Coturnix japonica: one gene and its partners. The protein of the gene in region 3 purifies or fractionates together with the protein of the main gene of each other region. This does not show direct contact. Links are inferred from orthologs where the notes say so. Each region holds a gene or a part of one and is shown on either strand. Other genes may lie near its edges. The genes, in order: glycerol-3-phosphate acyltransferase 3, GOLGA5 and SLC6A15.

What was found.
Region 1: the proteins of SLC6A15 (region 3) and glycerol-3-phosphate acyltransferase 3 purify together in Homo sapiens (co-immunoprecipitation; 3 studies listed by BioGRID and IntAct, counting the BioPlex papers as one, with this or other methods). This does not show direct contact. The link is inferred for Coturnix japonica from reciprocal best matches to the Homo sapiens genes SLC6A15 and GPAT3.
Region 2: the proteins of SLC6A15 (region 3) and GOLGA5 purify together in Homo sapiens (co-immunoprecipitation; 3 studies listed by BioGRID and IntAct, counting the BioPlex papers as one, with this or other methods). This does not show direct contact. The link is inferred for Coturnix japonica from reciprocal best matches to the Homo sapiens genes SLC6A15 and GOLGA5.

Annotation. Positions count from the first base shown.
Region 1 is NC_029519.1:41,398,043-41,405,277, forward strand, and holds the start of glycerol-3-phosphate acyltransferase 3, read left to right. Parts: upstream 1-3,229; 5' UTR 3,230-3,317; coding exon 3,318-3,461; intron 3,462-7,235. UniProt on the Homo sapiens protein: Converts glycerol-3-phosphate to 1-acyl-sn-glycerol-3-phosphate (lysophosphatidic acid or LPA) by incorporating an acyl moiety at the sn-1 position of the glycerol backbone.
Region 2 is NC_029520.1:40,659,215-40,666,509, forward strand, and holds the start of GOLGA5 (golgin subfamily A member 5), read left to right. Parts: upstream 1-2,762; 5' UTR 2,763-2,850; exon of another isoform or gene 2,851-2,954; intron 2,955-3,087; exon of another isoform or gene 3,088-3,220; intron 3,221-3,596; 5' UTR 3,597-3,644; coding exon 3,645-4,206; intron 4,207-6,359; coding exon 6,360-6,581; intron 6,582-7,295. UniProt on the Homo sapiens protein: Involved in maintaining Golgi structure. Stimulates the formation of Golgi stacks and ribbons. Involved in intra-Golgi retrograde transport.
Region 3 is NC_029516.1:37,875,058-37,882,296, reverse strand, and holds the start of SLC6A15 (sodium-dependent neutral amino acid transporter B(0)AT2), read left to right. Parts: upstream 1-2,555; 5' UTR 2,556-2,667; intron 2,668-2,780; exon of another isoform or gene 2,781-2,893; intron 2,894-3,187; exon of another isoform or gene 3,188-3,393; intron 3,394-7,239.

The DNA of each region.
Region 1 (7,235 bases), on a different chromosome or scaffold from region 3:
GGGGGCTGCACACAATTCACTGCAGCTCTGTGAATACGGACTGCTAGGCATAAAAGCTGTGTAAAAGCGAAGCTACCTCTAAAGCTTATCTGTAGTTTCTGTGCAACAAGGATTAGAAGTTCACAGAAGCACGGCAGAGGGTAAAATTCCAGGTAGGTTCCAGGATACAAACTGAGGCTGAAACTATCTGACTCTTCTGTGTATACAGCATATCAGTTTTTACAGTGTGTTATAGCAAATAAAGTGCTGGAGAGAAGGCATGACCTGCCTGCGATCACGAGACAAATGAAAGAGAGCAGAATTCCCAAGTGGTTTATTGGCTACCTGCCATTGCAGAACAGCAGAATGGCACGAGATAGAAGGTAATATTGGAATAAGTATGGTATGTAGGACCGTATTTGTTTCTAAAAGAATACAGATACCTACTGTTTGATATTCTGAAGCTGCTGGCTCCAGTGACAGCAGACAAGCAAAAAGCTTACTAGATCTGACCCACCAGCAGCCAATAATATGTACAATAACTTAGCAATGCTTAAGGAGACAATGCTGTCCAGATACTTCAGTGGGATTGCTCTGATTCTGGAAACCAAGTTTGCAGTTACACACCCCAGAGCCAGACTCTACAGGGACTGATAATCAAGTAGGATACAATAAGTACAGCCAAAAGAAATAAATTAAAAGGCTCTGCAGTTTTTGGATTCATTTGGAGCATCTGGTTTAGATCAACTTAGAGCATTTAATTTCAACTTCTGCACTTCTTTGCATGTATTGTGCTTCATGGCAGAAGTCAAAGTGTGAGGATTGCATTAGAAAGTATGACTGTGTGTAGTCTTTGCACATAAAATAGGCCTTCAGAAAATGAAACCATTGAAAACTGTTAACGTGAGTGCACTCTCTGAGTCTTTGGTGGAATGATGCTGCCATGTTCATGTGAAAGTATGGTTACAATACCTGAAAGAAAAAAGCAGGAGTGGGGCAGTAGGACTGCATGTTCTCATGGAGTACATACAGACAAACAAAATGGAATGATGGAATGAATTTTAAACTAATTTATCAGTAGATAAATGATCAGTGGTTTATAACAGCTGGATATATATATATATTTTTTCTTAAAGAGGCAAAGGCCACTTGGCAACGACAGTAATTTATTTTTCCTTTAAGTAAGTCAACAGTTTTTGCTAGCTGTCCTTTGATGGGAGTGCAAGATGAATTGAAAGAAAGCACTTGAGCACGTTCACGCCAGGAGCTGGCAGCTTTGTCACTAAGAGGAGGATGTCACATTACCAGACACACTCTGCCAGGCAGAGAAAATGGTTCTTTGAGCAGCTCACCATGGAAATTGATTTTTCTCCAATTTAACATTAATATCCTTGTGAATTATTCATTTAAGAGTACAGTGGAAACCTGGATGCAGTAGGTTCTGTTTATGTGTTCAGCCTTGCTTCAGTGTGGGCACCTGAAACTGGAGCCTGTTAGTATTTCTTTTCACCAGCGTTTTATTCCCCATTATCCTTCTGTAACAGCAAGAATCAAAATAGTGATCTTCCCATGCTGTAAGAAACAAATGGTGGAGGCTGTGCATTCCCTACTGTTTGCTCATGGAGTCTGCAGATGTCTGAATACGTCTGATGCCAGCCAGAACAGGGGTAGGTAAAAACAGACATGCTGTTTAGTAGGAAAGTAACACCTTATTTCCTCATGATATAAGATAAGGTACTATAGTTAGGCTGCGGTTGGACTTGATGATCTTCAAGGTCTTTTCCAACCTGGGTAATTCTATGATGAATGTTATAAGAAGAGGCCTCGAGGATTTTCCTCTGATGTTTCAGGGACATGGACGGATCTCAGCCCCCTCACTCCAGAATTTGGTGTGGCATGCACTGTATTGAGTTCAACCTTTTTGTTTTACGAGAACCCTGGCTAACAAGTGCTCAGGATGGATAAAAATCATCCATTGCTTTTAATTTTTAAGGTTCTGTCAGCCAATAAAAAAAACCCTCATACTGCACAGGTATGTCTATATTATTGACCTGGGGAGCAAGACAAGTTACGCTGTTGCTACTTTTCTACATCTGTCCTTAGGATAGAGATTCCAGATTCTCAATGCTCTGAATAAACAAACCAACCAACCCCCTTGGCATTCTCCATTTGCATCAGCAATGAACATTCATGGGTAAAGAATAAAGGCCATGGTTGTCTTCCTGATGGTGAAAAAAGAGAACGTGAATTTTGAATGTAGCTCTACGGGGTGTTATATTATGAACAACACCCTGTTGTTTCTGACCCAAGCTGCCTTCTGGCTTTGTGCACAAGCAACTCACTTGGCTCCAGGTGATACAGGTATGGGAAAGAATGTGTGTATTCTTAAGTTAATCATTATGTTTTTAAAATGTATTTTGATAGCTAATGCTTGGATAATTGTCAACATTGGAATACCTAAGGCACTGCCATTTGGGACACTGGGGAAAGTTGGAATGGGATCTGTTTCATAAGAAAAATTACTAATGTATGTAATTGATGGCAGCCAATGTATACTTTGGAAGCTCAACAAAAATGGCCAGAAAATCAAACTTTTAATGATAATACTGTTCTACAGCTAATGTTATTTTATAGAAGGGAAGAAAAATGGGCTGTGGTACCATGTGTGGATATATTTTTCACATTGAGGAATGATGAGAAAAGTCAGAAGGAACACAGATTGTTGATAAAGGATAGAAATGTTTCAACGCTGGAATGGCATAGAGTAGAAATGCCAAAGCAATGTTCTTCAGGTGCTATTTTGGCCAGGAGTGTCACGTTTAAGATGTCAAAGGAGGAAGAGGATTTGGAATTGTTTGTAGCCTCCAAAAGCATAAGTGAGGTGGGGGTAGGATGTGAGCAGTCACAGAGACAGTGAAGGAGAGGCTGATAATTTTGGTACAGCAGCAAGGATAACTTGTGGGGGGGGTGTGATGTGTTACATGCTTCCTTAAGGCAAGTGGAATGGAAGAACCACACGCATTCTCCTTTGTCACAGAGGAGCGGTCTCCTCGTGTCCCCCCTGCTCCCTGTGTCCCCAACCGCCATGCAGACACCTCCGTGCTCTCCTTCTCCTCGCGCCCCCTGCAGCCGATCAGTCGTGATGCCGCGGCCGGTCCGCCCGGTGCCGCCCGTTTCGTGCACACCGCGCTGGTGCCGGTGCGGTGCGGAGGGGGCGGGCCTTGGGGCGGGCCGTACGGCCTTGGGGCGGGCCGTAGGGCCGTACGGCCTTAGGGCGGCGGCGCCCGCGCTCGCGGCGATAGTGGCAGTGCCGGAGGTGCCGGCGGGCGCTCGCCGCCATGGAGGAGCTGGGCTCGCTGGCGTTGTCGCTGGGCATGGCGTGGCTGAGTCTGGTGATCACCCTCATCGTGCTGCCTTCGGCGCTGGGTATCTCGCTGGGCATCTCCGAGGCCTACATGTGGGTGCTGGTGAAGACCCTGGAGGTAGGCGGCCCGCCCGTCCTTCGCTGACCCGGGGCGGGGGGCGTGGGGCCGCCATGGCGGGCCGGGTACGGCCTGTGGCTGTGCCGGGGGTGCTGCCTCCTTTCGTCCCGTCCTTCAGCGATGGCTCTTGGGCGTGTCTGCCGTGGATACGTTTTAAGGCTTTCCGTGCCTTAAGTGCTTTCTGGAGGCCTTAGGCAGATTTATGCTGGTGTAGGGTGAAGAGTAGCCGTTCCCAATCCGGGCTGAGGTTGTGAGGTTCTGAGCCGGCCAGGTTGGGCTGTGCTTCGTTTCCTGAGCAAACTGACTCGTCCTGCTGAGATGAATCAAGGTGAACTTGAGATGTGGATTGTCCTCTCCCACAGAACGTGTGCGTGGAGAGAACGTCTCGCAGCTGGCCTGTTGTTGAGAAATGTCTCCCGTTCCTTGGCTCACAGCTACGCCTTGCTCAGCAGCTTGACACAGAGCCAGGTCCAGGTAGTGCCTACAAGAGCCCCTGGAGATAGGTATTGTCACATCTGACTTTTCTGTGCCAGAAATAACGTTAACAACGGAACGTGGGGAATATAGGGCTGTTAGCCTTGTGCAGCTGTGCTGCCTGAAACTTCCTTGGCTGTTGAATTCAGTCTGTGGGCTTCCTGCTGAGCAGTGGCTGTGTTGAGTCATAGGATGCTGCAGTTTTGAACAAGCGAGACTCCTTGCAGTGGTTCTCTTGACAGCTTCCTCTTCAGTTCCAGCCTTGGATCTCCTGGCCAACCCCTCTTCTTTGCCAAGATAGTGGTGGGATCTTGGGCCTGTAGAGCACTTTGCACATCTGCAGCCTCTATTGTCTCTTTGGGCTGGATTGAAGGAACTATTGCTGTTTGTGAAGTATAGTGTTACTCTGCTTTGGCTGTGTATGGTCCTCTCTTGTGGTGCTACGTTTCTGCACAGCTTGTATTGTCAGGTAATGTATGTGCTTTGATAGAGCTGATCTGTTACAAGGGACTAGCTCTGTCATTTTGGACACTGGAGTTTGGGAACCAAGTAACAAGATAGTCTGAAGCATGTAGTATATCTGCTAATCCACACTAATGTGTAATGTGGCAGACAAACATGAGCCTGTGGCATGCAGTTTTCATTGAGGCTGTGGTATGGAGCAAGGCGAGAATGGTGCTGAACTTGAGACAGTATTTTTGTCTGCTTATAGAAACAGATCTGTTTACACTTGATTCAGAAGGGGTGATGCTTATTTGCCATGCTGCAGGCATGGCCTAAGGAAAGGGAGAGGAAAAGCTTTAAGGATCAAAGTGTTCTGGTGGTATGACACTACTGACGAGGGAGATCAGTTGGTGCACAATGGCTTCTTATCCATGCTGAGCTGCCTTAGCGAGGAGCATTATTCTAAGCATGTACAGACAGCAGTGTTGAGTATGTACTTCTGTTGGGCTGTGTTGATTGAACCCAGAGTATTGTACTGTCTAAACACCCCCAGGTTGCTTCCAGCTTTTAATTTTGTACATCTTTCCTTCCTGGTCTCAATCATATGCTCCCCTCCATTAATGCTTTCCAATTCTGGGGCTTTTGAGTACCACGCTACTTTCTCCTGTAGTGTGGTAACTCGTAGCAGATACTTGGAGTAGTAGGTGTGTTAACATTATGTAACTGTGGCCCCTGGTAACAGAAGCAATTTCTAATCGCTTATTATGCTGCCAGGCAGGGAATGCACTTTCACTGAGCAAGGGTGTAACAGTAGCTATGAAGCAAAGGTGCTTGCTTTAGAGATCACTGCAGCTACCCAAGAGGACCTAAAGTTGAGAATATACCTTAGGGCAACAAGGGTGTTTTGGTGCTATTGGTCAAACAGTAGGTCCTTGCCATGTAGGATGGGGTGTCTTCCTTTCCCAGTTCTCCAGGTGTCAGTTTGGCTCTTTAAGCCACCATTGGGATTAGGAGCTATGTCTTGCAGTGCTAAGTGTAAGGGCGAGTAAAGGAAAGGGGAAATACATAGCCTATAAATCTGTGAATCACTGTGGGACTGCTGATTCATGTTGAATTAATTGACTTCTTTAAGCAACCTTTGCTGACTAGTGATGTCTAACAGCATTGCTGAAGGTCTTTGTATCGTTGTAGTTGGTGTTGTTTGAGAGCTGTTGGGTGGAGAACTCTGACCTAAGAGGACAGCTCTGAAGGGGAAGAAGTTAATGGAAAGCAGCTCTTGAAGATAAGTCTGATAGGGATGATGCACCCTTGCTGACAGGCCAGAAATAGCTTCTGGAAAAGTGTTTTAGCACATCTACTGCAAAATCTTCAATTCTTTGGCTATGTTAATTAAGTACCTCAGCTGCCCTAGTCCTATGCAGGTCCTTATGGGTGGTTTCAACAGATTTAATAATGAAGGCTGCTTGTATGCAGGTCAGGTTACTAGAGCTGGGGTTACCCTCCACAGGGGTTGTATCAATAATTAATTCAACATCTTCCTGGTCAACAACACTGACCTGAAACTGCTCCTGACTTCACAGCAAAATGAGCAACAGTGTTTCTGATGCTGTTAATTAGTAAATGCTGCTTACAAAGAGCAGCAGCTCTAGCCACATCTTGCCTTAAGGTTATAATGCATGGAGCTGGTAAAAAAGAAGCTACTTAGCATTTCTGTTGCAGATCCCCCTTCTTTCCTGTAAAGCTGGACTATGTTGTCCTGTTTGGAGGCAATGACGAAGACATCTCATGAGGGTGAGGAAAAGATAATGTAGATAACCAGGGAACCTTTCACCCTCCCTCTGAAATGATTGCTCCTTTTTTTGCAGGGCTGTTTTCGTTTACACAGAATTTCCTGCCTCCCATTGTGTGGGAGGTGCTCTCAAATCTCTGTTGCTGTTGAGGTTTGGAAGGCCTCCAGGAAGGAGTGATCACCTAAACTAGCACGTCAGCTTTTGTGCTGAGTGTAACCTTCCAGCCTCTTTAAATAAAGGAACAGCAGTGATTCTAACACCGTTATGACTTGGGATTTCATTCAGCTGCAGTAGTTCGGTAATCTCTCTTCAGTAATCAGTGAACACGACTCCTAAACCAGAGACGATATTTTAAGATGTTATTTTTGCATCTGAAGTCTAATTGGGCTTTTTTTGAGTACTGCATGACCCCTGTAGGTCACTTAACTATCTCCTACAGGCTGTTGGCTTGCTGTGTGTGGTGCTTTCTTTTTCAGGGGTTGGAAACTTAAAAGCCTTTCCTATCAGGAAGAGGTGGCGACGTTCTGAAGGGAAGGCTGGTAGGCTGTTCTTATCTGGTGAGATGTAGCATGGTATCTTCAGGCCAGTGTGTGTGACTAAAGCACACAAGCTAATTAGCCCTGAGCAGCATGAATGGCAGCATTACCGAGTTGGATCTGCGTTATATGCATACTTTATCACTGTGCTGATTTTTAGCTTTACATACTAGTTCAACAATTAGCACGAGATACACAACTTATTTTTAACGTTGAAGAATCTGATGTTTTATGCTTCTTCCCAAAATTGGCTCCCATGTCCCTGGTGAAGGCTTAGGTCTGCACCTGATGCCTTGGGCTGCCTACTCAGCACCTACACTCATGTCAGTGTTAATGCAGTACATGGATGAAACCTGCCATGTGGCTTTTCGCTCATCTGCTTGAGAAAACTGAGCCCGTACTTGACTTTCAGGATGCTTTTTGATCTCTAGTATGCGCACGCGGTATTTTCCTCTCTGTGAGATGAGTCAGATTACGTAGTGAAAGCTCTTTGTGGTGTGAAGCTGGGCATTAGGATAGGAAACAGCTGA
Region 2 (7,295 bases), on a different chromosome or scaffold from region 3:
GTATTTTCATTTGTCAAAAAAGTATTAAGAGAACTGTTACTGGTTTTTCATTCTTTATGTTGATTTTCATGCTCTTGGTAGGGAAAGTTGAGTACCAACCTAGCAGAGTTATGAGTATTCTGGGTTCTTTTCAACAAATAATGAACTCAAATTAAGAAAGGCTGAATGTAAATAAACCTCCAAAATCCTCAAACTCTCCAGACTTCATATTCTAAAAGCTTCTGCTTTTTAAATGACTTTTGGTCTTCTAACTCTGATGATTCTCTCAGTGTCTGTCTAGAGGGCTGGCTTTGTTCCTCATTTGAAGAATAATAAATTACCCCTGTTATTTGCATATGGAGTAAAAGGAAATAAGGTAGTGAGAACACTGCAGGAAGGGATTCAGCATGTTTTTCCAGTAAGGAGCAGTGACTTTCCACCTTAGCTCTTCCTGCAGTTTTTGATTTCTCTGCCCATACAATCGTGGAAATCCATAGATGACTGATACATAGACTTATGAGAGTGCTCATCCCATTTTATTCAAAGATGCCTTTAAGTGGACAATGACATGAGGCCACTTTGAGAATAAATGAAAGGTTGAATGGCAACGCATGCAGTGATTATCACATTTTTTTCCCCCAATCTTTGATATTTGGTATATTTTCTATATCCTGGATGAAACAAAGGCTCTGTGCCAGATAGATAGTTGTCTAATAATGTAACAGGACACTGTGACAGTTAAACACTCATTCTCATCACTCAGCCTAGCAGGCACAGGATGCTTAGAATCAGTTGTTGACACTTAAAAACAAGGCATTTGTTTGACAGAGTTTTAAATAGAATGTGAACAGAAGATACTTTACAGTTTTTTATTCCCTCCTACTTTAGGATAACATGACTTCTGCTGGGGCCTGAAATCCTTTTTTCTAAGTAGTATCTGAGGAGGTAATAAATGCACATTAAATGGAAACAGTGATTATATCCAGCATACTGAGTCACATGATGTAGAACTTAAAGGTTGTGAACTGATTTGGTTTATTGCTTCCACAGTGTTGCTTAATCTGTCATGAGGTAGGATGGATTTTCTATTAACTCTCAAAACTGAGCTCTGTATGTTCTGAATAGGTAGCAGGGCAGATAATCTCCTCCTTCAGTTTATATCCTAATGAAGCTTAATGAAAATTGATAATTCATATCTGCTAATGAACATTTTGGAACCTTTGTCCTATGTAACTCTACATAACCTTCCCACACCTTGTGGATTCCATATGGAAAGATTATCATGATAAAATGTAGGGAATCTTCTGTAAAACAGAGGATATTCCTGAACCTCAGGACAAGAACAAGTCCTCAACAGAGAGGAATCTGAAACAGCAGGAGCTGTAAGTGCAGCTTAAGTATGTTTTTCCAAGGCCTTGCACTATCCTGTCAAGAAGAAAAGATGGGAAAAATAAAAACTACTTTTAGGGCCAGATGCCTTTGTTTTAGTCACCAACTACTCCAATGGGCAATGTGACTTATGGGAATTGATCAAACTATCTCCCCATCTGATATGTATATGGAAAAGAACATGAAGGATCTTGTGTGTAAATCTGACCTCCACCAAAAGGTTTCACCTTGAAATGATAATTGACAATTACTGTAAAAACTGTCCCTTAGAGCATAACTTACTTATTAAAACCTTAACCTACTTGTTAAGTGTAAATATATGTAAACTCATCATGTTTAAGGAATTTGCTGTATTATACACAGGACTGGAGCAATTGTGAAGGAAAATCTATTCTTACTCTTCTGAATGTGACATGAGCTCTATTCTTGAGATAGGCTTCTCTAATGTTTGCCTTAACTGACCTACCAGTTATCTGGCTTTCCACAAAATAATAATAATAATAATAATAATAATAATCATCATCATCATCAGTTTTTGTTTTCTTCACTCACCATCACGTGCTAAGCACTCAAAACAGATGCCTTGGGCTTCACTTCCCCTTTTAGCTAATGAATACAATAAGTTACAGATGAATGAAACAACCCTGTGGGTTACGTGTACTTTTCTACTTACCCAATAATAAAAACTGAAACTATCTAAAAATTACTTCAGTGCCAGACACAGAAACCATAGAAAAGTCTCTCAATGAAAAGGAAGCTGAAGACTGGGAAATTACAAGGACTTAGTGCTTAGGTTATTTCTTTACCAGTGGGAGCCCTAAGATTCTCTTATACATCTGAACAAGGAGATGGGAAGCCCTTGAGCTGACCTCACCTCTTGTCCCCTCTAAGCTTAGTCACAATACCCAATGTAAACTTTATCTTCAAAGAAAATAATTAAGACAATCTTATGTCTGTTATCCAAATAAGAGCCAGCACTGCTTTCAAGGAAGCTCAGCAGAAACGGGGCCATCTGGGTGTTATCATACAGGATAAACGTGTGGGAAAGACTGCTGCAAGAGGATACGGGAAAGGCTGCTGCAGGGGGACGAGTGTGGGTCTGGACATGAGGCTTCTGGGAAGAGTTTTGTGCGGTCAGGAGGATGGAAGAACACAGTTATTTGCATTTATTGTGCTGGCAGAGCGGAGGGGTTTATATCCTACTGGTTCCGCGTTCTTTGGTGTTTTAAGCTGCCTTCGAGAATCAGGTGATGCCACCTGTCAATCGCTCTCCTACACAGCATCAACTTGGCCAAGGAAAGCTAGAGGACACCGGGCTGCATGTAACAGCCTGACCGCTCGCACGGCGGGGCTGCAGCTCCCCCTGCCAGCACAGCGCAGAAACACGTTGCAATCCCCGCCCGTTGCAATCCCGGCCCAGCCCTGCTCCCGTAGCAGGCATGCGTGCGGAGCGGCCCGGAAGGCGGCCACGTCTACCGGAAGGTGCGCAGTGCCGGGCAGTGCCGGGCCGGGCTTTGCCGTGTGTTGTGAAGTGGGCTCCGGCTGCCGCTCTGCTCGGGCTGGGGTGTTCCTGGCGCTGGGAGGAGGTGAGGCCGGGCTGTGCTGAGGCCTCCGCAGCTCCTGAAGGCTGCCGGGTGGGAGTGGGGGCCTGGGCGGGATCTCACGGCCGCTGCGCCGTTCTGGATCCGGGTTGGGCCCTCCGCAGGCCGGCTCTGGGTAAAGGGGCCCTGTCGTGGGCTATGAGTGCCGGGGAGGTGCTCCTCGTCCCCCTGTGCTGTCATAGCGGCACCTCAGGGCAGCAGTTAGTTCTGAGGGAAGATCCTTCCTCTGACCTACCTGATGGAAGCTGCAGGTCAGGCATATGAGAGATCGTACATCCATCTATTTCTGTAATATGTTGGTTGACACGTTTTCCTCCTCCACTGTGATTGTTGTCAGTTGCAAATAGACTTTATCTTCTATTACCGCTGCAGGTCGGCTTACGGGTTGCATCAGCACCTGCTAGGAACAGACATGGCTTAATGGCAAAGCCATGTGTTTTTGTATATTATGTTAAGAAACTAAATTGGTTTATATCCATCTGTCATAAAAACAACAAAATACAAATCTGGTAGGAAAAAAGTGTTAATGTAGTTACAGCAATAATAGATGAATGCAGCAGTTTTTCAGTAACCCACACTTCTTGCCTTCTCAATGCCTGTCTGACTTTAAATTATTCTCTTTTGCAGCATATGTTCCTGAAATTTTGATGTAGAGCTCATCAGCAGACGTTTATCATGTCTTGGCTTGCTGATCTGGCTGGAAAGGCAGAGGATCTTCTCAACAGAGTTGATCAAGGAGCTGCATCGGCTCTGAACAAAAAAGACACACCAAGCAATGCAGTTTTCGATAGCAAGAACTTGGACTCTGCCAGTGAATATTCTGAATTGTCCCCGCATGCCAGAGAACTGAAATATCAGACATCATCCAAAGCAGCCTACATCTCCTCAGCAGCTGATAACATTAAAAACCAAAAAGCTACAATCTTAGCAGGAACAGCAAATGTAAAACCGGCGCGTAGAACAAATTCAGAAGTTGCTTCTTCAGCAGAAAGTGTTTCCACGTCCAGAGCTTCCTCACATTTTGTGAGGAGAAAAAAGTCTGAACCCGATGATGAGTTGCTGTTTGATTTTCTCAACAGTTCTGAGAAAGAGCCTAATGCAAGGATGGACTCTAAAAGAGAGAAGAGCAAGACACCTGTTCAAAATCACTCTCGGACTTCAAGCATTAGTTCTGTATCTACTGGTACACAGAGTGCAGTGGCTACTGAAGATAATTCTGTCAAGGGCAAAAGCAATGGTAGTTTAATAATATTAAATCTAGAGATATTTTACACCCCTGTATGTGTAGTGTAAGGCTAGGTAAAGGATTTTTTGTCACTTCATGAAAGATTTGGTGGCAGCAGTATATCACATGTGTGAAGTATTTTTCATCACTAGAATAATGATAGATACTACAGTAATTTGGCAGGTTATATCACTTGTCACTTAAATGCTTTGTGTTCTTTATCTGCTTCACTGCTACTGCTCAACTCATCCCGCCTTAGTCGTGGTCTGATGCTGCATCAGCACCCATGCATCCCCACTTGGAAGTGTTGGTTCTGGCACTGCTGCATTTGTTCCCTTGCCTGGGGTTGTTGCCTGTTATGATGTCACATATGGGAGCAAGTGACTTTTGTTACAGCTGGTAAATGGTTCTAGCTGTTACCCAATGCCCTGCCTGGTACAGTGTGAGCTTCTCTCTGCTGTGCTGTCAAAGATGGGAGAGCTGTCAAACTTTTTTGGCTTGGATGGTAGGAAAATGGGTATGCTTCTCTTGAGCTGCAGGCATGAGAAAGTGAGATAGGCAGAGTTCAGTTTTTGCCAGAAGTAGTGCATTGCTGCAGATACCTGAAATAGTTTCCAGGCCAAGTGGTTAAAAACTCAAGCGTCTGCTAAGGAGAATGAAACTGTTAGAAACTTTTATTCTCTGTCTGGCTCTCCAGTCTTTACTATTGTTTTGTCTATAAAATTGAAGCAAATAGTTGTATTTCTAATAGTGTAGCTAGAGTATTGTTTGCATGTAGAGCACTGTGCCAGTTTTTGACTTGTAGAATCCTCAGAGTTGGAAGGGACCTTTAAAGGTCATCTAGTCCAACTCACCTGCAATGAACAGAGACATCCACAGCTAGATCAAGTGGTTCAGAGCTTGGTATATAGTATGTTGTACCTTGATAGCTGATGCCTGGGGAACAGTTATTTTGCTCAGTGTGGTACATTTTATTTTTCAGTGGAGTTTGCATCTTGGAGCTGCTAAGTGAGGAAGCACATGATTAACGTGTAGAGTTTGGGCACACTAGTTTCAAAGTCAGTTATATTATCAGTCATTCCTATGTCCTGCATAACAACTGTTGAAACAGATTATAGTCCATTAGTTACAGACAAAAGTAATGAATGTTATAGTATTATGTTGCATTGGATACAATCTGCTATAAATTGATATTTTTAGCTTTATTAGCTTCATAGGACTCTCATGTTTTCCAGACAAAGGAATGAAGATAGATTGATAATTTCAAAAGTATGTAAATGAATTAAAAGGAAGGAAGGAATACTTCTTAAAAATGTTTCAATAGGAAAGGGACTGGAGAAAACATGGAATACATTTTTCAATCGCTGTGATTACTTGTTGTGTGCTGTGAGGAATTCCCAGTCTGCCCCATCTCCTTGATGAGCTGTGGCTCATGAAACCTGTTGCAGTGGCAGCTAGGAAGGTGGAGTGGATTGATAATCACAGAGCGAAGAAAATGGTGTTGTGACAGCTAAACTGCGGTCTGGCATTGAATTTGCTGTAGTCTGTCCCTGTGGATTTTCAACAGTTGTCGATCTGGGGCACAGTGAATTCAGAAGGAATGTTTTTGCATTGCTTGCTTGGTTGTTCACTGTGTGCTGTGTTGCTTTCTGTTAATACTGGTACAAATCCTCCAGCTGCCTGCACATAGCAATCAACACTGCTAGAGTGGCTGCATTAATTTCAGAACACTAATCCAGTACCATGTGTGTGCTGAGGAAGGGCTGTAGGTTTCCCCCTTCAAGTGAGTTCTGTTCAGATTGCATCAGAAATTCCTATATTGCTTTTTAAAAGTGAATATTAAAAGCATGTTTTGAGAGAATTGTTACTGATGCAGAATCATCAGTAAGATGATGCTTCAACTGAAGGTTCCTGAAACACTCTTTTACATAAAGGTAGCTAAAACATACAGCTCTGTGGCCAAATAACTTATTTAGGTTTGACACAAAAATATGTTATATTCTAATATATATAAGCTATTATATATAATAATATATATGAATATATATAAGCTAATATATATATATAAGCTATTTTGACTTTTAAAAATTAGATTAAGTGCATTCAACCACTGATACAGACCTACAGATGGTTAGATCAGTTCTAACTTGTATTTCTCTGTACAGAAACTCCAGACAGCTCAGATTCTGGACTGGGAACACAAGTGGATGGCACGAAGGATTCATCACTAAGTGCAGTAACTAATCCTGGCCTTTCAGCTAATGATGATGTAAAATCACATGAGCTGTCCAACCTTCGTCTAGAGAATCAGCTGTTGCGGAATGAAGTGCAATCTTTAAATCAAGAAATGGCTTCATTAATTCAGAGATCCAAAGAAACACAGGAAGGTATCGTAGTTCGGAACCTAAACTGGTAACATACTGTGAAAATACTGGTAAACTGGGAAGCAATGCTATTTCTGTGTTAGTGTATATTTATAATAAAAACTTCCTAGATAAATCTGCATGTGTGACTTAGGCAAAATGATTCTTGGTTTTCAAAATAATGAGCTGAGAGAAATGGGAAGTCTTTTTCAACTACAAAAATAACACACATGTTGATGAAAGTGATGTAGTTGAGTTAGTTCCGACACTTAGATCTTAATACTAGCAAATATTAAGTGTGAAATTATTTTTTTTCTGCCTTCTAAAGTTCCTTGCAAAATAGTTACGAATAAATGCCTTTAAGAGCTTGAAACCTGGCTGCTTTCTGTCTGTAGCTGATGGCTGGTAAAAATTTCAGATTGAGTATTTTTGCATGTCTACAGTAGCTTTTTATTCAAGGCTACACTAAATGACATATAGCAGATGTGAATATAAAAACAAACAGTAAAATACTTTACAAAGTACCTCAGGCAGAGGAGGGACTCCTTTTTTATTCTTTTCTTTTAAAGTAACTGTATAAGCTGCAGAATTTATTCTCCATTGAAGTTTGGCATGTGAACTTTGATTAAAAACAAGGTCTCAGTAAATATTTAGGCATCATTTTAACATAGTAATTGTCTGCTTTTATTTAGGTTGATCTTATTGTCATGTAGTGTTGAATCAGATGCTTTCTATGGA
Region 3 (7,239 bases):
TACTTCATCTTAGCTTGAAGAATGTTGTTTTTTTACTTTCGCCTTTTACAGAAGGACAATCTATCACAGTAATGAATACAAATACTTCAGAGCATAAGAGATTTTTAAAGACCTAGGTATGTTATTAATTAAGACTGCAGTGATTGAATAGTTAAAAGATGCATAAAAATATGATTTCTAAGCAATTTTATTTATTTATTGTTTTCTTTTTAGACTTGCTTACATCCAACAAAATGCAGTTTTACTGTAGGACATTTTTCATGCTGGCCTTTCTTGCTTCTCACTCAGACTCTTTCTGTCCTCAGATCTCCTGAGTTGCCAGCACAGATAGAGCAGATGCATCAAGTTTGAACAGCAAATGAGGCATTCTCTCTATATGCATAGTCACTTGGCTTACAGAATGATAGATTAGCCTACAATGTATCTCAACATTGTAAAGGGTTACTCTCAATATTTTCATCTATCAATGGCTTCTAGTGCTTAAAAACATGGCAAGAAAAAAATGGCAAGCTACTTTTGTATATTTTTGTCACTTATACACACTCACTTCTACAGTTTTGAAGATGGAAATATTTCCTCTTTCAAGATTGAATCAGAGTGAGATTTGAAGATGACTGTTTTAAGTTTCAGCGAACTTAATAACAAGATGAAAAATGTGATGGCAAGATCTGCAGCAAGAGTATCCTACTTAGAAGAGCTGCAGTAAAAGTGCCCTAGCCCATCTATTCAGAATGTAAGTTGTTGGGTTGCAGAAAGTCTGAAGAGGAAAATACTGCTGAACATTTACCCTTGTGATATTTTGTATTTGCTTATTAAAATGTTATTAGCAGAATTGCAGTTGCTGAAAGAAAAGGTAAGTAACTGATGATCTGTTTGATGGACATCAGAAATTGAACGATGCCTTTCTCACAGTAAAATTAGTCATCAGATAACTGACAATATGATTACAGATCTGAGCTCATCATTAACTGTACACAGAATTCAAAAAGATCCAGGAATGACCTTTTTCTGCGGCAATAAGCTGATCATATGATAACATTATCAGTTAATCTTAAAAAAAAAAAAAAAAAAAAAAAAAAAAAAGCCTAATTCTTATCATGTGGTAGTAGAACATGTAAATTCTTCTGCTTATTGATGCTTAGTATAAAGAAGTTTGGTTTACATTTAGAACTTCTTTAAGGAAAGTTCATTATCACTGAGTTCCAAATAGTATCTGATCACAGGATGGTTTGAGTTGGAAGGGACCCTTAAAGGTCATCTCATCCAACTCCTCTGCAGTGAGCATGGATAGATACCTAAAGCTAGATCAGGTTACTCAGAGCTCCATCCAGCCTGACCTTGAACTCACTATGGATGAGGCATCCACCAACTCTAAGGCAACCTGTTCCAGTGCCTTGTCACACTCAAAGAAAAAAGACAAAACCAAAAATAAATTTAATCAAACATATTGTAAATATATGTAGAATACAGAATACATTGTTTACAGAACTGTTTCTGCACACAACTCAAACACTGCTTCTTGAAATTCTTATTAAAATGTACTAACAATGAGGAACATACCACACAGCGACAAACTGCTTCTGATAATGAGGTAGAAATATGAACAGAAGTTCGCACCACACCTTTCTCAACTAAACATTCAGGTCAGCTAGAGAGACTGCAACACTGAAGAAATATCTCTCCATGATTCAGGCAGTGTAGGGAAGTTCTATTCAGTTCCAACATGTGTTAAATTGTTGCAGTTATTGTTGCACTAATTCACAGTGAACTCTAAAAGAGTTCATTCTCCATTCCATTGCGCCCTTCTTCAGCAGAGCAAACCTGCCTTCCTAGGCCAGCTGTGTGCCTCTAAGCAGTTTCCTTTCCATCCGTTATCATCTGTCTTCCTCCTAACCAGAACTGATGAACATTTTTTTGAGAAAAATGCTTGCAAACAAGCAAAACAGAACAAGGCCAGTGGACAGACTTAGTGATAGGAAGCTTACAGGGTAAATAAAGATAAATGTCTCAATTTCACACCCCCACATTGCTGCTGTTTGTGGCAGCAATGAAAACTAGCGCTACAAGACTTCTTCACCACCACGAGCAGCCCTTGTTGGTGCTATCTGTAGTGTGCATCCCGGCCTCCAGCCCGAAGATGGACCCACGGCAGCCGTTCTGCTGCAGTCCTTTCCCTGACTGCCTGCTCTTTCCTCAGATCTGCATCCCTCACTCTTCTGCACAACCACCTGGGGGTCTCCTCCCGGCCCGTTCCCCTGTACCCTTACCCTAAGGCCCCTCGCAGCCCACGCATGAAGCACATGGGTACGGGTCTGCGAGTAGGCCCCGGCGGCGCCGGCAAGAGGGCGAGTAGGTGGGGGGCGTCTCCCTTCTCCTCCGCCCCTCCCCGCCCGCCTCCAGCTCAGGAGATGCTGCTGCGGGCGGTGGAGGCGGGGGGGGCTCTTCCCTGCGTCAGGAGGTGCGGCTCCCCCGGCCCACCACCGCCCTCCCCCTTTGCACTCCCCCCGCCGCTTTTATGTCTGTCTTTAAACACCGCCGCCGCAGCCAGGGTTGGGCACATGTGCGCGCCGTCACTGTCTCTCCGCTACTGAGCCCCGCGCCCGTTTAGCTCCGCACACTGCTCCGTGAGGGCACACGGCTCCTTCTCGCTGTCGGTGGGTGGAGGAGGTAAGGCGGAGGCTCCGATGGCGCGGCGGAGAGCGGCGGGCGTGTCGGTCGTGCTCGTCCCCGGGTCTGTGCCGCCGGGCGGGGAGCGGAGCGGGGTGCCCTGCGCTCGATGCCCGCTTTCCTGCGGCCCCGCGAGCAGAGAGCCGGCCCCTCGGGAGACAATAGCGAGCGCCCACTGGAAGCCGCGCATGTGTTTGAACTCAGCGGTGGGTTGCAAAGATGTTAGGTGCGCTTTTCCTTTCCCTCTCTCGTTTTTTTATTATTTTTTCTTTTTTTCTTTACTCTTAACAGAGGATATACGTTCTTTTCGTACCACGAGTGACAAAAAAATTCATTCATTCATTCATCTCCCGCATGTGACGTACACTACTTTCAGCGCGAGTTTCAGTAGCAGAAGTGGGGCGGGGGGCGGCTGCATGGCAAGGTCCGCGGCGTTCTGCAAGCGGCTGCCTCCGGGTTTCTGCGGATGCGGGGCAGAGATGTGCCAGTCGCACCCATCATCTTCTTGTCCCCTCCGCAGCCCCTGACGCTGCAGGAGCCGGGCGGAGGAGGGCTCGGGCCTGGCTGCGCAGCGCTGCTGTCGCTGAGTATCGGGCGTCGCCCGCGGAGAGCGGCGCGGATCCTCCCAGCGCTCCCCGCATCCCGCATCCCGCATCCCTCGGCTGCGGTGGCCGGAGCAGAACGGCAGGCGCAGGACCGGCGCGCCCCGGTGTCAGCCATGTTTGGGTGGGTATGGTAATGAGGACCTTTTCTCAGCCTCCATGCGTCTGGAGGGTATTTTCTTTAGGGGCTTGTAATGACTGCAGCCCTCTGCAAAATCCACAGCGTGACAGATTGATGCCCGCACTTCTCTTCCAAGTTTTAAAATCTCATCTCTTATTAAATCTTAAATTTCCCATGCTCACGTTTGCATTAGGGTAAACTGGGATTTAATTGCGATGCTTTGCTTTTGTTGTGGAAGTAAATGTGATGCCTGCTCCATCACACTGATTTGCAAGTTGAGATGTTGCAATGGAATTTACTATGTTTCAGTAGTTTGTGCTTTGTTTTATTTTTAAAAGATACTGTAGCCAAGACCTCGTCCTTATCAGCCATTTTATTTTTGTCTGTGTGATATTGCTGTGTATCAAACTCACTGCCGTAGTATTGATTTCTAGGAGAACCTTAATTATTTTTAAACAGTAAGGCACCACAAATATGGCGCTGTTACATGCTGTAGGATGGAGATCCAAATCTGCTCTCCACTCCAAAGGAGAGTATAAATGAAGAAAACAAAAATTTCATTGACTTATCTGATGCAATGTTCATATGCACTGGATGTATTATCCATCTATTATTCTGCTTTCTCCACTTAATAGAAAACAATGCCAATATTTATTTCTTTATTTGTTTATTTATTTTAATCTATTGAGCATTGTGTTTTTCAGATACACATTATCAGTATCTTTTTAAAAAGGAAACTTTACCAAATATGTAGGTAGGTTATTTTTTTTTTTCTCTCTCTCTCTTGGATAATAAGAAATAAAAGAAATAAATTTACACCAAGACCTTATTAAGACAACATAAGAATTACAGCATGAGTCTGCATTTGCTTATCAAAAATTTCATTTGGCCTCAGTTAGGCACTTCAGATTCAAGAAGAAATATTTCCAATGGTTTTGATCTATAGATGAAAAACCAAGCAATTTAATTGCTATTTGGGTGTTCAACCAATTCTGAAATTGAAGAAGTGCTAAAGCATGTTAAAACTGCTTTTGCGGGCTAAGCTGATTCCTGTTGACCTCCAGTGTCTTGTCATTCTTACAGCTTTTATTTTTTTTTCTTACAGGCGAGCGAGCAAAAAAGTAGTAGTGCAGATGAAGACCATATAGTTTGAATGATCTGTCAACTCTTTGGTCTGCCGTATATTGCAAAAGGCTGTATACACAAAAATTTTAGAATGTTGAATTTATCAGAAAAAATAAATAAATCACAGGTCATTCAGAAATATATTTTGGGGGATAACAGCAAGAAACATGCAATCAACTAATAAAAGCTAATCCTTTTGTTATAAATTGCTTTGCTAATGTACATTGGGGTAGTTGCTGTGGGGGTAGTATGGAATTAAATCTCTAGGGAAGGGTTTGTGGTAGAAATATTCTCAAGAAGACAGAATTTATTCTCTAAACCTCTAGTGCGCAACTAAGAACATCCACAGATTTATGTGTGCTCACCCATGTCCCCAGCTTGCTTTTCTCCACTACACTTTTCCACTCACATCAAGGAATAATAATCTTGCTCCAAAATATAGGATATCTATTGAGTTGTTTTGTTTTTTTTTTTGGAAGAACAGTTTAATCATAAACTATCTATATCAGCAAACAAAAAGTTGTAAAAGAGAATAATATTAGAAGCGGCTTTTCTATGTGATCTCTAAATTTTCAATTGGTTGTAGAAGAACTTTGACATATCAGCAGGTGGCATCCCAAAACTTCAGGAGCTCTCTTTTTCTTCAAGTAGCCTTGCCGTTATTACTCAGGAAATGTTCTAGGAAAACTTATCAGTGAATAATGATAACTGAACATTATTCTTTCAAACAGCTAGATATTGAAAACCTGAGAAGTTCATACAAAATAGGATGAAATATCAGTGGTAACTGGTAGAAGAGTTTTTAGAGAATGGGATTAATTGGGCTGAGTTTCCCAGAACCCTGCATTGAAACAGAAATCCTTGTTCTTATTCTTCACTCTGAGACTAGCAGTTCCTTATTTGCTGTATGGAAAAGATAAAAGAACAAGGCTGTATAATGCTGTGTACAGTAAGGCCTTGAATTTAGTTCATGGTACCAGTGGTCTTTTTCCCATTTTGGGAAAACTGACTTTTACTGCTGGCAAATGATATTACTATTTCAAGTACCAGAAATGTGTACTGCAGCGCTAATGATTCAGCATACTCTTATGCTAAAATGGAGAAGGGATGAGAAACTGGAATAGGGACTTTATAGTTTTGAATTTTCTATAATGGAGTTTCAATTAAATATTTTCTTTTTATATTCAGGGATTTACTCTAACTTAATTTGAAAGCATGATTTATATCATTAATAAAACACTTTGTTTTGAGGAGAAGCAGCATTTCTGCTAACATACAGTTTACATATATATACACATATATACATATATACATATACATATATATACATATATACAGCTTATGTATAGAAAGCAGGGAAAAAAGTGAATATAATTTATTTATTTATTTATTTTCCCCAAGGACAACTTGATTTACTTATTGATCAGTTCAGATGCACAGAAGGAAAATGTCTAATTTTCAATACTTGACTTTTTCAACTTAAATAACTTCAGTTCTTGAATTAATTATTTGAGATATTTTCATATCCTCTCCCATCTCAAAAGTGTGAGATAAGGTTTTATAAGAAAATCATGGTTGTGTTGTGGCTTATATGGTTAGTTTAGAAAACAGAGATTTTGTTTCACATTGCCAACCATTAAGGCTATCACACTTTTCCAGTTAAAAGTTGTTACCTTCAGAACTGCAAGCATTACTTCATGCAACAAGCTGGAAGAGTGGTAGCTACTACATTTGATTCTTCAATAAACCAATCAGGATAAGTGATAGTTTTCTCCAGCTGAATAGGAAATTACAGAGAACATGCCCAGCAATTCTGTTAAGCATTTCAGTGAGGTTGATTTGTGAGAAGAAAATACTGAGAAGCACATGAAAGCTGGTGATAAACTACTGTAGGACCAATAAAGTTCAGAGACTGTGTGAAGTGGAAAGAAATAAAATGTTGTTTAAGAGGCCTGGGTTGTAACCTTCTCTCTCAGATATTTTTCTTCACCCAGTGATGCTGAAGAAATTGAACAATTCTGAGAAGCAAATCTTACTTTTTCTGTTAAGATATTGTGTTTTTCTTCTGACTGTAGAAGACATTTTCCAGTAACTGGAGGAGACTAGTCTGGAAAGGAAATTGTTGGTGAATTCTTGATGCACAACAATAAGACCATTTTGTAGGAACTGAGAACAAATTTCCCAGTGATTCTAAGCAGACCCTGTGTCACTGAAGTATGTAACTACCCATATTTACATCAGGTCTGAATTTAATCTTGTGTATTTAAATACTTCTGCTATGGTCTAAATGATTTAACTTTACAGACATGAGAAACAAACGAACAAAAGAAGTGTAATGTATATTAGCATGACTCAGAATCACTATGGAATGCAGATAAATGTAAGTTTCATTTTATAGAATATTTATTGTAATTGAGCTAGATAGCTTTTGAATCTACTGCACTCAACCAGATAGGACAAAGTGTTAGGTCATGTAATTTATACTGAAGAGCAGAATAATGACTCCTGGAGTGCATAGATGAAATAGACTTGACTGGACTAAAAGACTGTGTTGCATATTCTTGTTTCCACCAGAAGTCATAATGCTACATTGCAACACTGATTCAGTTTGCTAAGTGCTTTCTGTAATTCTTGCTGAAATAATTATCTGTTCACAGATTCTCCAGCAATAACCATTCTTAGTGAGTTCAGTACTCCCACAAAACCTGCTTTGTTCCTATAGTA